Macaca fascicularis: one gene and its partners. The protein of the gene in region 3 purifies or fractionates together with the protein of the main gene of each other region. This does not show direct contact. Links are inferred from orthologs where the notes say so. Each region holds a gene or a part of one and is shown on either strand. Other genes may lie near its edges.

Region 1 (3,007 bases), on a different chromosome or scaffold from region 3:
GCCTTTGCTGAACTGACACTGGGATAGGCACCTCCTGTGTCTGTTTCTCCGAATGTCGTGATAGTCCTGTGAGTTGAGCAGGGACCTGAGCTGAGTGGCTAGGCACAAGAAGCGCCAGTGCAGCTCTTTGTGCTGAATGGTGCTGTCTCCTCTGTGTTGGCCCCTACCCACCCTTGCCCTGGGGCCCTTCCTTAAGGCCTCATGCTGTGTGGGGGACAGTCCCCAGCTACTCTCCTTCGCCATCCCAAGGTACAGTGTATAGTTCCTAAGAGGCGATCAAGGCTCCGGGCCCTTGTTGCTGAAGCACAGGCCTCATTTGGGCTGGTGTAGGACTCTTGTTGGCCCGGGAATGGGAAAGGCCACTGGGGAGAGCTTAGTTTGGGTACCTCGTGAACAGAATAGGCAGCAGTCAGGACAGGTGTTCAGACCCCAACTCCAAGTTCTAGGCAGTGGTGTTGACCCTCATCTATGAAACAATGTATGACATGTGGAACCATGTTTGTAACGTATCCTGGCACGGGGTAAGCACCTGGGAATTGGAAGCCGTGATTCTTATTTGGGGGTCCCTTCTCCCTTTTGGGGTCATTTGCATTTTCGAGGAACATCCTCTGTTGTGGAACATTGAACTCCGTGGGCCCCTTGTTCTGCGTGAGGATTTCCTCACCTGCCTTCCAGCCCTGATTCTTCTCAACCATGGGCCAGGCTGGGGTACCGTGGTGTCAAGAGAACTTTAATGAGTGGGCGCCTGTCCCCCAGGGCAGTGCCAAGGAGCTGTCCCCTGCCGCTCTGGAGAAAAAGCGGAGGAGAAAGCAGGAACGGGACCGGAAGAAGAGGAAGCGAAAGGAGCTGCGGGCGAAAGAGAAGGCCAGGAAGGCTGAGGAGGCCGCGGAGGCCCAGGAGGCGGTGGAGCCAGCCCCAGAGGGTGCTTGCACGGAGCCGTGGGAGCCGCCGGGGCTGATCTTCAATAAGGTGAGTGGGAGCTGGGTCCTCGGGCGGGCTGGGTCGGCTTCAGGCCTCAGCGTTGCTCCTTGTTAGCTTCATGACCTCCCTCCGGGCCCCTTCGCGTCTGTAAGGTGGTGACGGGGACAGCGCAGTTCCCTTAGGGTGCCGGCCAAGACTGGGGCCTCGTGTGGGGCTGGCATGAGCTCATGTCATACCTTCTTCCCAGGTGGAGGTGAGCGAAGATGAGCCGGCCAGCAAGGCTCAGCGCAGAAAGGAGAAGAGGCAGAGGGTGAAGGGGAACCTGACGCCGCTGACCGGGAGGAACTACCGGCAGCTGCTGGAGCGCCTGCAGGCACGGCAGAGCCGGCTGGACGAGCTGCGCGACCGGGATGAGGGGAAGGCGCAGGAGCTGGAGGCCAAGATGAAGTGGACCAACCTCCTGTACAAGGCGGAGGGCGTGAAGATCCGCGATGACGAGCGCCTGCTGCAGGAGGCCCTGAGGCGTAAGGAGAAGCGGAGGGCGCAGCGGCAGCGCCGGTGGGAGAAACGCACGGCCGGCGTGGTGGAGAAGATGCAGCAGCGCCAGGACCGGCGTCGGCAGAACCTGCGCAGGAAGAAGGCGGCCCGCGCCGAGCGCCGCCTGCTCAGGGCCCGCAAGAAGGGCCGCATCCTGCCGCAGGACCTGGAGCGCGCAGGCCTGGTCTGAGTCTTTCCCACCTGGGGCTGCCGTCTCTGTCCTGGGAGGCTCCAGGGGACCCTCTGAGTCCTTGATGCTGGCTCTGTCCCAGGATCTCCACAGACCGCGGCCTCTGCGTGTGAGGGGGACACTGTCATGCTCTGCTGAGTTGTGAGGGCTCAGATCACGTGTGTGAAAGAGAATGTTTCTGCGTCATCCTTGAAAACAGGGTCCGGGGCCTTCAGACCCGGGGAAAGGGCGAGCCACACTGGGGCCCAGTCTTCTTTCCCGGGCCTGAAAGCTTCCCCGAGGTTTGCAGGGTCAGGGAGGAGGAACGGTGGGGGTGGGCAGTCACTGCCCCTTCCCCCGGCCTGTGTTCGCAGGAGCCACAGGACAGAAGAGGGTGGCCTCCGCTGCCGAGCCCCGTTAGTCTGCAGCTGACTGGAACAGAGGACAACCCTGAGGTGTGGCGTGTGGGCACCTGGCACTCGGGAGTGGTGGGAGCACGTCCAGGCATGGTGCGTCCTGGGGCAGAACGCTGCGTCTCCTCCCCCTTCTCTTGGCTTCTGCCTGTTGGGGTCTCATTCCTTTCTGTTCCTCTGCCTCGGGGCGGCATTTCACCTTCGAATTCAGAGGGAGGGAGGGAGCAGTACCTTCCCAGAGTCCACAGGTGTGAGTTGGGTCAAGTGCATTGGCCCAAGGGAAAGAGAAAGAGTAAAAGCTGGAGAGAGTGAAGTGAATGGAGGATACAAAATGGAATGGAAGAATTAAATCCAAAGCTCCAGGCAATCAAAATGAATACAGGTTGAATAAAACTCAGGTGAATTTTAGTGACACGTGGATGATAACGCTGTAAATAAAATTCTTTTGATGAAACTCTCCAGTTAACGAGACGAAGATTGTAACCGAAAGGGAGCTGGTGTGACTTTTAATAGTGTCCACTGATGAAAAAGCCCCGTGAAAGATCCGATGTGAGATGGGTATGAGCTTGAGCTAGGAGACAGACAACAGTATCTGGAAAGAATACAGTCTTTCCAAGCGTAATTGGAACATGGATGGAAATTGACCACCTACTTTGTCTAGAAAAGAAGTCGTAAGATATTTGAAGGAATCAGTGTCGTTACCTGACCACGTCCCAATGTCGTTAAAAAAATTTTGAGCTAATTTTTTTTTTTTTTTTTTTTTAGACAGAGTCTCGCTCTGTCCCCCAGGCTGGAGTGCAGTGGCACGATCTCGGCTCACTGCAACTTCTGTCTACCAGGTTTAAGCGTTTCTCCTGCCTCAGCCTCCCGAGTAGCTGGGACTATAGGCGCCCGCTACCACGCCCTGCTAATTTTTTGTATTTTTAGTAGAGACAGGGTTTCACTGTGCTAGCCAGGATGGTCTCGA
Region 2 (3,519 bases), on a different chromosome or scaffold from region 3:
TTATGTATTTTCTTCTCTTTTTTCCGACAGGTCAGAATCCGAGTCCAAGAAGCGTAAGCATAGGTAAGAGCTCTTTAACTCATTGGGGGCACAGTGGCATGTAGAGTGGTGATTTCTTTTTCTTGAAGTGAAGCTCAATACCTTGATCTTTCTCCTGTTAACATTCCCTAACTCTTTACATTTCACTTTTGGTTTTATTTCCTTTTTTAAAAAAGTTACTTTTAACAATCTTTCCTTATTTCTCAGGTCTCCCACTCCAAAGAGCAAACGTAAATCTAAGGACAAAAAGCGAAAGCGGTGAGTGAATTTGTGGGGAATTTGCTTAGAAAGTAAGTGAACACCACCTTAGTGGGAAGGGGTTGAGTCAGTTATGTCCCTAACTGGTAAAAGGTTGAGGGGTAGGTGAGGAAAATCCAGGGCAGGTACAGCAGTACCCTGAGCTGTGGCGGTGGTCTTCCTTCAGGTCTCGAAGTACAACACCAGCCCCCAAGAGCCGCCGGGCCCACCGTTCAACTTCTGCTGACTCTGCTTCCTCCTCTGATACTTCCCGCAGTCGGTAAGGGGTAGTCCAGGAGGAAGGGAGGGAGAGGGAATGATGGGTTAATTAATTTAATATTTATTGAGCGCCCACGGTGTGCTAGGCGCTGCACAGACCATTCGGAAGACACGGTCCCTGCCCTCTAGGAGCTGACAGGCTAAAGCAACAGGATGGACAGACATATACATTTCCCCTTCTCTTTTTTTTTTTGTTTTTGTTTATTTGTTATTTTTTGTTTCGTTCTGATGTATATGGACTGCCAGAATAGGGGGGGTGGTGGTTTGTTCGTGGTGTCTGGGGGAGGAAGGAATCCTTACCCTGGCTTCCTTAATCGGGGAAGGCTTCCTGAAGGAGGTGGGCTCAGAGGTGAGTTGTGAATGAAGCGGGTAGGGAGTGGGCTGGGTGGATGGTTTCGGGATGTTTGGGGGAGGTGAGTGAAGGGGTAGAGGGAGAACACTGTTTGGGATTGTGTTGGGAAGAGAAGAACCAAAGTGGACTGTACTTGCATTTCAGTGAATGATTTGAGTTATGCGACTAAGCAGGCTTTTTGGAAGAGGGTTGTACAGTTGGAAAAGGTGGATGGGAGTTGGGGAGGGGGTTTCCTGTTCTCCCTTTGAGCTGATTTCCTTCCTCTCCCCCATCCTCAATTAACTCCTGCAGGTCTCGAAGTGCTGCAGCTAAAACTCATACAACTGCCTTGACTGGGCGAAGTCCTTCCCCTGCTTCAGGGCGACGAGGGGAGGGAGATGCACCTTTCAGTGAACCAGGTACTACCAACACACAACGGCCTAGTAGCCCGGAGCCTGCTACAAAACAGCCTAGCAGCCCTTATGAAGACAAAGATAAAGACAAGAAGGAGGTATGTTCCTGAGTTGGTGATGTTCATTGGATTGCAAGTGTATAGATTTAGGATAAACTTGTGACATGAAAGGGAGAGGTAGTAACTTACTAAAATAAATTCGGTTATTTTTTTCTGCATTGATCTCCCAGTTTTCTTACTGTATCTGCAGAACTTGTAGTGTTGTTACTAGACTGAATTGTGAACCCTTTAGAATCAAATCTCACTGGATACTAATAGGTTTTATATTGTATCTTGTTTATACACAGAACTGGAACAAAAGTTGTATTTTATCTGTGTACGCCGTGTTTCTTTTCTTTTCTTTTTTCATTAAATGCTCGTTGTGTCTCACTAAAACTGTTTAATCCATTGGGGTGCCACCAATAGTTTGAATGAAACACTGGAATAGTCTTCAGTAGTTTTCTTTTCTAATTTTAAGCGTTAATCATTTCCTCTTGCTTTAGTGATTACAGTGTAAATTCTTGGCCTCTGTCATCAATTTTCCATGTCATCCAGGATTACCTTTCCAAATTACAAGTTGGTTGACCTCAGAAACTTAACTGCTTCCTTATTGCTTTTGAATTACATTTAAGGCTTTTAATAATTTGGTCTTTTTCTCATTTCCTGTACTCTTTCCATCCTGGTCTGCTTTTCTACTCTTCAAACAAATCATGTTCTCACATCTTTATTCATGTTGTTTCTTTTCCTTTAATAGAGTTATTCTTAAAAGGTGAAGTTGCCATTCGCTTTAGGAAACTGCTTATTTTTCCATTTAAAGATAGTTTTTTCCGCTTTGATAACATTTCGTAGTGGTATTTGTTGTTAAATGTAGTAGTGTGTTAGTTATTTGCGTTTAGTGTTTCAGTTTTAAGATTCTCAGACTATCCATATCTTCATATGTTTTCCCCACTGTTCTTTATATAATTCCTTGTTATTGAATGAAAGTGATTGCTTGTGGTCAGGGGATGTGTAAAAGAAAAGTTATTGGAAAGGGTGTTGGGATCTTAGGAGTGATGTGAAGTCTTGGCGTTTATGAATCCCTATCCCTACTCTCTCTTTCACTCTTAGAAATCTGCAGCTCGACCTAGCCCCTCTCCGGAAAGGAGCAGCACAGGCCCAGAACCACCTGCTCCCACTCCGCTCCTTGCTGAGCGACATGGCGGCTCCCCACAACCACTTGCAACAACCCCCTTAAGCCAAGAGCCAGTGAACCCCCCATCTGAGGCCTCTCCCACTCGGGGCCGTTCACCACCTAAGTCTCCTGAGAAACTTCCCCAGTCTTCTTCCTCAGAGAGCAGCCCACCATCCCCTCAACCTACCAAAGTTTCTCGGCATGCCAGCTCTTCCCCAGAAAGTCCTAAACCTGCTCCAGCTCCGGGGTCCCACCGAGAGATTTCTTCTTCTCCCACATCCAAGAATCGCTCACATGGCCGAGCAAAACGGGATAAATCACATTCTCATACCCCTTCCCGTAGGACGGGGAGGTCCCGTAGCCCTGCCACCGCTAAGAGAGGGCGATCTCGGTCTCGAACCCCTACAAAGAGAGGTCATTCTCGATCCCGATCTCCCCAGTGGCGTAGGTCCAGGTCTGCACAGAGGTGGGGAAGATCTAGAAGCCCCCAGCGACGTGGCCGCTCTAGGTCTCCTCAGCGACCAGGCTGGTCTAGGAGCAGAAATACCCAGAGAAGAGGCAGGTCTAGGTCAGCAAGGCGAGGGAGGTCCCACTCTAGATCCCCAGCCACTCGGGGCAGATCTCGTTCTAGAACACCAGCCCGGCGGGGCAGGTCACGCTCTAGAACACCTGCCAGGCGGAGATCACGATCCAGAACACCTACCAGGCGTAGGTCTCGGTCTAGAACACCAGCCCGGAGGGGCAGGTCTCGGTCTAGAACACCTGCTAGGCGCAGATCTAGGACCCGATCGCCAGTACGACGGAGGTCTCGTAGTAGATCACCAGCCAGGAGAAGTGGCAGGTCACGCTCCAGAACCCCAGCTAGACGTGGCCGCTCACGCTCCAGAACCCCAGCCAGACGTGGCCGCTCACGCTCTAGAACCCCAGCTAGACGCAGTGGTCGCTCACGCTCCAGAACACCAGCCAGGAGAGGGAGGTCTCGATCTAGGACACCAAGACGAGGAAGATCCC
Region 3 (3,519 bases):
GGCGTGAAATCGGGAGGTGGAGCTTGCAGTGAGCCAAGATGGTGCCACTGCACTCCAGCCTGGGCGACAGAGCGAGACTCCGTCTCAAAAAAATAAAAATTAAAATTAAAATAAAGACCTTGTCTAACATATTATTTCCTTCTCACTAAACCATAAAGTGATTTGAGAAATGGCTAGGAACTATAATTCAGAATGAAGACTGGACTTACCTGTTTACAGGTAAGGTGTGTTCTAGTGATCTTGCTTCACACCAGGGACTCTTTTGAGGTTCTGCATATAGATGTGATAACTGGCGATGGACTGCTAAAGGAGAAAGGTGTCCAGGTGTTGGCCACAACACATTTGGGCTTGCGGTCTGCCGACCAGGCCCACCTTCCAAGTTAGTGACATTGCTGGGACTGCTGTAATTCATCACAGCAGGGCTATAGAATGTCATGGCTGGATATTCATGGTGGCTCTCTACATAGGAGGAAGGTATGTATATAGAGCCGTGCTCCAGGGGTAAGATGGATTGACTGCAGTTGTAGGAGGAAGGAGAATTAAGGCTAGATGGTGAATTTTTTATATCCATGTCTTGAGATAACAGCTGAGAAAACACCTTGCAAGAAGAGGCACAAAGGTCATTATAATGTTCTCAAAGATTCGTGGGCAAGTATAATGGCTGTAAAGAAACACAGAGGATATTGCCAAGTTAGTTAGAGCTACAGGTGTAACTACAAAAATTTAAATATTTTCATTAAAAAAATACACACATTTGTATGAGATTACAAATACATCCTGAAAATATATATATGAAAATATTAACCTCAGAGGAGTGGGAATGTGAGGCATGAAACTCACATTTTCTGCTTCATTCATCTCTTCATTGTTTGTTTGTTTAATCAACAGTTTAAGCACAAGAGTTTAATGATGAAAATTTATTATAAAATAGTCTTTAAAACTAGAAAACACAGGATTAAATAAAAATGAAAGTTGTTATGGAAAAATAAGCAAGAATAACCAAGTAAACCCTAAAAGAGAAGATCAATGAGCAAGGCTAGTCTCAACCAATATTAAAATACACTGAGGCCAAGTGAGTGAGTTACGCCTGTAATCCCAACACTTTGGGAGCCTGAGGTGGGTGGATCACTTGAGGTCAGGAGTTCGAGACCAGCCTGGGCAACATGGTGAAACCTCATCTCTACAAAAATTAGCCAGGCATGGTGGCATGTGCCTGTTGTCCCAGCTACTCAAGAGCCTGAGGCAGGAGGATTGCTTAAACCCAGGAGGCAGAGTTTGTAGTGAGGAGAGATCATGCCACCGCACTCCAGCCTGGGTGATAGAGTAAGACCATATCTCAAAAAAAATAAAAAAGAAAACATGTTATGAATCTTCAATAATGAAAGACAACAGGTATTAGCAGAAGAGACTGACCAGTGTAACTGTGTCACTTATCAATCTGTTGCCTCTAGGTTTTGTTTTGCTTTTGTCTTTTTTTTGTTTTTGAGACAGGATCTCACTCTGTCACCCAGGCTGGAGTGCAGTGGCGTGATCTCAGCTCACTGCAACCTCCTGCCTCCCAGGTTCAAGCGATTCTCCTGCCTCAGCCTCTCAAGTAGCTGTACTACGGGTGTGTACCACCATGACTGGCTAATGTGTTGTATTTTTTAGTAGAGATGGGGTTTCATCATGTTGGCCAGGCTGGTCTCGAACTCCTGATCTCAAGTGATCCACCTGCCTCGGTCTCCCAAAGTGCTGGGATTACAGGCGTAAGCCACCACACCTGGCCTACCTCTCAGTTTTGAATGTGCCCTTCAATTTTTGCTCTACAGTAAACAACATAATTTTTGCATGTAAAGTGAGCACAAAGCTGGGGGTACTGGCTCATTACAGGCAAATCTTTTTTTTTTTTTTTTTTGAGACAGAGTTTCGCTCTTGTTACCTAGGCTGGAATGCAATGGCGCCATATCAGCTCACTGCAACCTCTGCCTTCCAGGTTCAAGCAATTATCATGCCTCAGCCTCCTGAGTAGCTGGGATTACACGCAAATGCCACCACACTAATTTTTGTGTTTTTAGTAGAGACAGGGTTTCACCATGTCGGCCAGGCTGGTTTCGAACTTCTCGCCTCAAGTGATCTGACTGTTTTGGCCTCCCAAAGTGCTGGGATTACAGGTGTGAGCCACTGTGCCTGGCCACAGTAATAGACAATATAATATCTGAGGTATAATTCATCACTTTCTTTCCCAAAACCACTCATTCCCTATTTGTGTTAATAGAAAAAGCCTATTATAGTTACCTTTGACTTCTCCCCTTGACTCAGTTAACTTTAATCACCAAGGCACGTTGGTTTTTTTTCCCAATGCCTTTTTTCCTCTGTCTGTCTTTTGCTGCCATCTTGAAGTAAGCTCTCATTACTTTTTTTTTGCTTTTTTTTTTTTTTTTGAGATGGAGTCTCACACTGTCACCCAGCCTGGAGTGCAGTGGCGCGATCTTGGCTCACTACAACTTCCACCTCCCAGGTTCAAGCGATTCTCCTATCTCAGCCTCCCAAGTAGTTGGGATTACAGATGCCTATCACCAAACCCGGCTAATTTTTTGTATTTTTAGTAGAGGCGGCATTTCACCATGTTGGCCAGGCTGGTCTCGAACTCCTGACCTTATGATTTGCCCACCTCAGCCTCCCAAAGTACTGGGATTACAGGTGTAAGTCACCGTGCCTGGCCCAAAGTTTTTGTGTGTGTGTGTATTAAAATACAGGTAACATAAAATTTACCATCCTAGCCATTTCTAAGTATAAAGTTCAGTAGTGTTAAGTATATTCACATTGTTGTGCAACCAATCTCTAGAACTCATTTCATCTTGCAAAACTAAAAGCCTCTATCTGTTAAACAAATTCCCCACTCCTCCCCTCCCCCAGCCCCTGGCAACCACCAGCCTACATTCTGTCTCTATGGATGTGATGACTCTGGGTACCCAGCAGTGGTGAAACCAACTATCAGACCACACCAACAAACGACAAACGCCAGGATGCACCTAGCCAATCAATCAGGTGCATGGCAACTTTGCTTAGAAAATATAGATCTCACATCTCAACATATCACCAATCAACTTGTGTAGAATTTCCACATACCCCCAAAGGGATGATAATTACAGTCAGAGAACTGACTTCTGGAGAGTCATTAAAAGGCTAGGTGCTTTTTGTTTGGATATATTTCAGATATACCAGATTCATGTGATTCACAGATTCACTCTTTGTCAGTGGCATCTTGAATAGATAGGAACTTGGTAGCCAAGGCAAAGATTTTTTCTTCCTAAGCAGAGCCATAATAAGGGGAAGGAATGATGAACTTACACCATTGTAATAGTTCTCTGAGACAGGACAACAGGTAGTAAAAAAAATTAAAAAGGGGGGGGTCTCTTCTCTACCAGAGGTCTATAAAAATAAATCAACAAACCCATTCTGGTTGAGAAGCCCTCCTCTAAAACAGAGATATAAACTGGTCAAAGGAAAGACTCCCCAAAAGATTTAATTTAACAT
Region 4 (3,157 bases), about 41 Mb from region 3:
CACACCGTCATCTGCACAGCAGGAGAGTCAAATTAGTTCCAGAGGGAGGGAAATGGTGTGTCTGTACTAACTGAAGGATCAGAAGGATCAAACCTCCCATGTCAAAACCAACCAACGTTGGCATGGGCATGGAAGAAAGAGACAAATGCATGTTGTCACATTATTAAGCCAGCCTTCCAACTACTGTCACGGATGATTCCACTTCTAGGTTAATTTACAGAGTCACACAGATAAAAACTGAAAGAACCCAAGATAGTCTAATCTGGTAGTTCTTAACTTTTGTGGGGTCACAAAGTCCCATAAAAGTTCCTGATGAAAGCTAAGCTCAGGGTACATACGTCAGCTCAAGGAGTCCATTCCCCTCATTATTTTTTATTTCATTATTATTATTTTTTTGAGACGGAGTCTCGCTCTATTGCCCAGGCTGGAGTGCAGTGGCACAATCTTGGCTCACTGTAACCTTCTCCTCCCGGGTTCAAACGATTCTCGTGCCTCGGCCTCCCGAGTAGCTGGGATTACAGGCGTGCACCACCACGCCTGGCTAATTTTTGTATTTTTAGTAGAGACAGGGTTTTGCCATGTTGCCTAGGTTGGTCACGAATTCCTGACCTCCCACCTTGGCCTCCCACAGCACCTGGCCCACTCCCTTCATTTTACAAATATGAACACTGAGGTTTGAAGAGACGACTTCATTTGCTAAGGGCACAGAGGCAGTGGAGCAATAGCTCTCAAACTCATATGATGTGACCCAGGTCCAACTCACTTTCCCCTAAACCCTGTACCCTCCTCCCAGGTAGATGTCTCATCCATCATCACCCTCCACCTACACCCCAACCTGGGTGCACCTTTTAGGAAGTGCTGGGCTCCATCCAGGCACTCAGGCGACAATTCATTGTCAGCAAATGAGCCCAGAAGCTCGCTGACAATGATGTCTGCTTTCTCTGGAGCCACCCATTCCCTCATGTCTGATGAGACTACGGTCACTTGGCTTCCCCATTCTTCAAACTGCCAGTTCTCTAGCCTGAAACAGAGACAATAAGGTGAGGAGACATGTTAAGGAAATTTGGCAATGGGGACTAACTTCCTAGCAAGCAGGCTGCTACTCACGTCACCACGGCATTTGGGTTTTTCTCCACAGCATACAGCTTTATCCGCCGGTCAGCCTGCTTGGCTGCCCGCAGGGAAGCGTTCACCAGGGGTCCCCGTCCTGCTCCCAGCACCATCAGTACCCTAACAAAGAAAGGGAAGAGTCAAGCAGACTTGGCATATACAGATGTAGATATGCAAGTCCCTGGGATTGAGGGGAAAGCACTCACTGGACATTGGTATCCTTCTCCTCTTCTGGTACTCGGTCTAGCAGACATTTATAGATGGCCTGGAGGAGAGAATATCCTATGGTTGTAATCCCAATCTCCCTAGGTCATGCTAGCCCTGTGCTTTCCTCACCCTGCATACCACACAGTACCTGCTGATACTGAGAGTATTTGATAGGGTCCTTTTCAAACACTTCGTATGTCTGAGATTCCAGATTGTCCATCAGTGGCTGATGAATGAGGAAAAGGATAAAGTTAGCCAGTTTCTGGCAAAGGACAATGCACTAAAATATCAAAAACTTTCCACTGCTTTCTGAGTTTTAGTAACATTTGGAGGCATATATTCTCAAGATACATTTTCACCCCACCTTCCTACTCTCAGTGCACTCCAGACCCACCTGAAGCGGGGACTGCAGATAGTCTTCATAGCCCTTGGCAAAGAGTTCATAGGCATTAGGTGGAGGACGGTTCTGGCTTAAGTATTCCAAGTACTGAAGGTAGGAGCAGAACTCCTTCTCTGAGTGGTGGTTGGTGCCTGTGATGATGAACTGCACCTCCAACTGTAAGAAAAGTCAGACTATCAGATACAGCCCGCAAACCAAGATTCGGGGCCCAGTGTAAAATATGGCCCAGATCAACAGCTCTCCTTTTTTTTTTTTTTAAAGATGGAGTCTCGCTCTGTTGCCCAGGCTGGAGTGCAATGGCGTGATCTTGGCTTACTTGCAACCTCCACCTCCCAGGGTCAATTCTTCTGCCTCAGCCTCCCAAGTAGCTGGGACTACAGGTGCGTGCCACCAGGCTTGGCTAATTTTTGTATGTTTAGTAGAGACGGGGTTTCACCATGTTGGCCAGGCTGGTCTCAAACTCCTGACCTCAGATGATCCATCCGCCTCAGCCTCCCGAAGTCCTAGGATTACAGGCGTGAGCCACTGTGCCTGGCCCAGACCAACAGTTCTCTAGTATCTGTTCCAATACCAACAAAGGCAGCATGAGGCCTCAGTAAACTTGTAAAAAGCCCTCTTGGCCGGGTGTGGTGGCCCACGCCTGTAATCCCAATACTTTGGGAGACTGAGGCAGGTGGATCATTTGAGGTCAGGAGTTCAAGACCAGCCTGGCCAACATGGTAAAACCCGTCTCTACTAAAAATACAAAAATTAGTCGGGTAGTAGTGGTGCACACCTATAATCCCAGCTACTCAGGAGAATCGCTTAAGCCTGGGAGGCAGAGGTTCTGGTGAGCTGAGTTTGCACCGCTGCACTCCAGTATGGGTGACAGAGTGAGACTCTGTCTCAAAAAAAAAAAAGAAAAGAAAAGAAAAGCCCTCTTATGCCATAAAAGTATCATCAACACCCAAAGAGCCTCATGGATCCTTGCTGTAACTTCCTAAATGAAACCTTCTGCAAAGTTCTCATGAGGTTTGGTTTGTTTTGAAAGGTTTCTAGGGCTATTACTGGCATTTATCTTTTTGTTCTCAAGACTCCCAACTTCACTGAAATTGCTCCCCAGAAACCAAAGAAAAAGAGTCAGCCTCACAGGAAAAAACGATCATACACAGGTAAATAAGGCAAGATGTATAGCTGGACCACCTTTAGAACCCTCCTACCACTCACCTTGAGGAGCCGGAAGATGAGCCTCTGGTGCATCTTAGAAAGAACAGGAAATCCCTTCTTATTGGTCAGGAAGATGCTAGTGGGGAGAATGGCTGCTTTGATGGGCTCCCCAAGCCAGCGATCAATGACATGATTAGATGGGAGGTCAGCCCCAATTTCAAGAGCTACATGAGACAAAGAAAAACTGTCAACCACTGCCAGGCAAGAAACCCTTCCTTGCTCCTTTGTGAAAAA

What was found. Proteins that work in one complex are often made in the same cells at the same time.
Region 1: the proteins of ESR2 (region 3) and SURF6 purify together in Homo sapiens (affinity purification with mass spectrometry; 3 studies listed by BioGRID and IntAct, with this or other methods). This does not show direct contact. The link is inferred for Macaca fascicularis from reciprocal best matches to the Homo sapiens genes ESR2 and SURF6.
Region 2: the proteins of ESR2 (region 3) and SRRM2 purify together in Homo sapiens (affinity purification with mass spectrometry; 3 studies listed by BioGRID and IntAct, with this or other methods). This does not show direct contact. The link is inferred for Macaca fascicularis from reciprocal best matches to the Homo sapiens genes ESR2 and SRRM2.
Region 4: the proteins of ESR2 (region 3) and PRMT5 purify together in Homo sapiens (affinity purification with mass spectrometry; 3 studies listed by BioGRID and IntAct, with this or other methods). This does not show direct contact. The link is inferred for Macaca fascicularis from reciprocal best matches to the Homo sapiens genes ESR2 and PRMT5.

The regions. Positions count from the first base shown.
Region 1 is NC_088389.1:6,044,421-6,047,427, forward strand, and holds the end of SURF6 (surfeit locus protein 6), read left to right. Parts: intron 1-756; coding exon 757-969; intron 970-1,168; coding exon 1,169-1,648; 3' UTR 1,649-2,494; downstream 2,495-3,007. UniProt on the Homo sapiens protein: Binds to both DNA and RNA in vitro, with a stronger binding capacity for RNA. May represent a nucleolar constitutive protein involved in ribosomal biosynthesis or assembly.
Region 2 is NC_088394.1:3,609,238-3,612,756, reverse strand, and holds part of SRRM2 (serine/arginine repetitive matrix protein 2), read left to right. Parts: intron 1-30; coding exon 31-63; intron 64-246; coding exon 247-297; intron 298-463; coding exon 464-556; intron 557-641; coding exon of another isoform or gene 642-684; exon of another isoform or gene 685-904; intron 905-1,198; coding exon 1,199-1,397; intron 1,398-2,444; coding exon 2,445-3,519. UniProt on the Homo sapiens protein: Required for pre-mRNA splicing as component of the spliceosome. As a component of the minor spliceosome, involved in the splicing of U12-type introns in pre-mRNAs.
Region 3 is NC_088381.1:132,120,486-132,124,004, forward strand, and holds part of ESR2 (estrogen receptor beta), read right to left. Parts: intron 662-3,519; 5' UTR 572-661; coding exon 210-571; intron 1-209.
Region 4 is NC_088381.1:90,670,524-90,673,680, forward strand, and holds part of PRMT5 (protein arginine N-methyltransferase 5), read right to left. Parts: intron 3,088-3,157; coding exon 2,924-3,087; intron 1,874-2,923; coding exon 1,712-1,873; intron 1,544-1,711; coding exon 1,466-1,543; intron 1,376-1,465; coding exon 1,317-1,375; intron 1,231-1,316; coding exon 1,108-1,230; intron 1,022-1,107; coding exon 846-1,021; intron 12-845; coding exon 1-11. UniProt on the Homo sapiens protein: Arginine methyltransferase that can both catalyze the formation of omega-N monomethylarginine (MMA) and symmetrical dimethylarginine (sDMA), with a preference for the formation of MMA.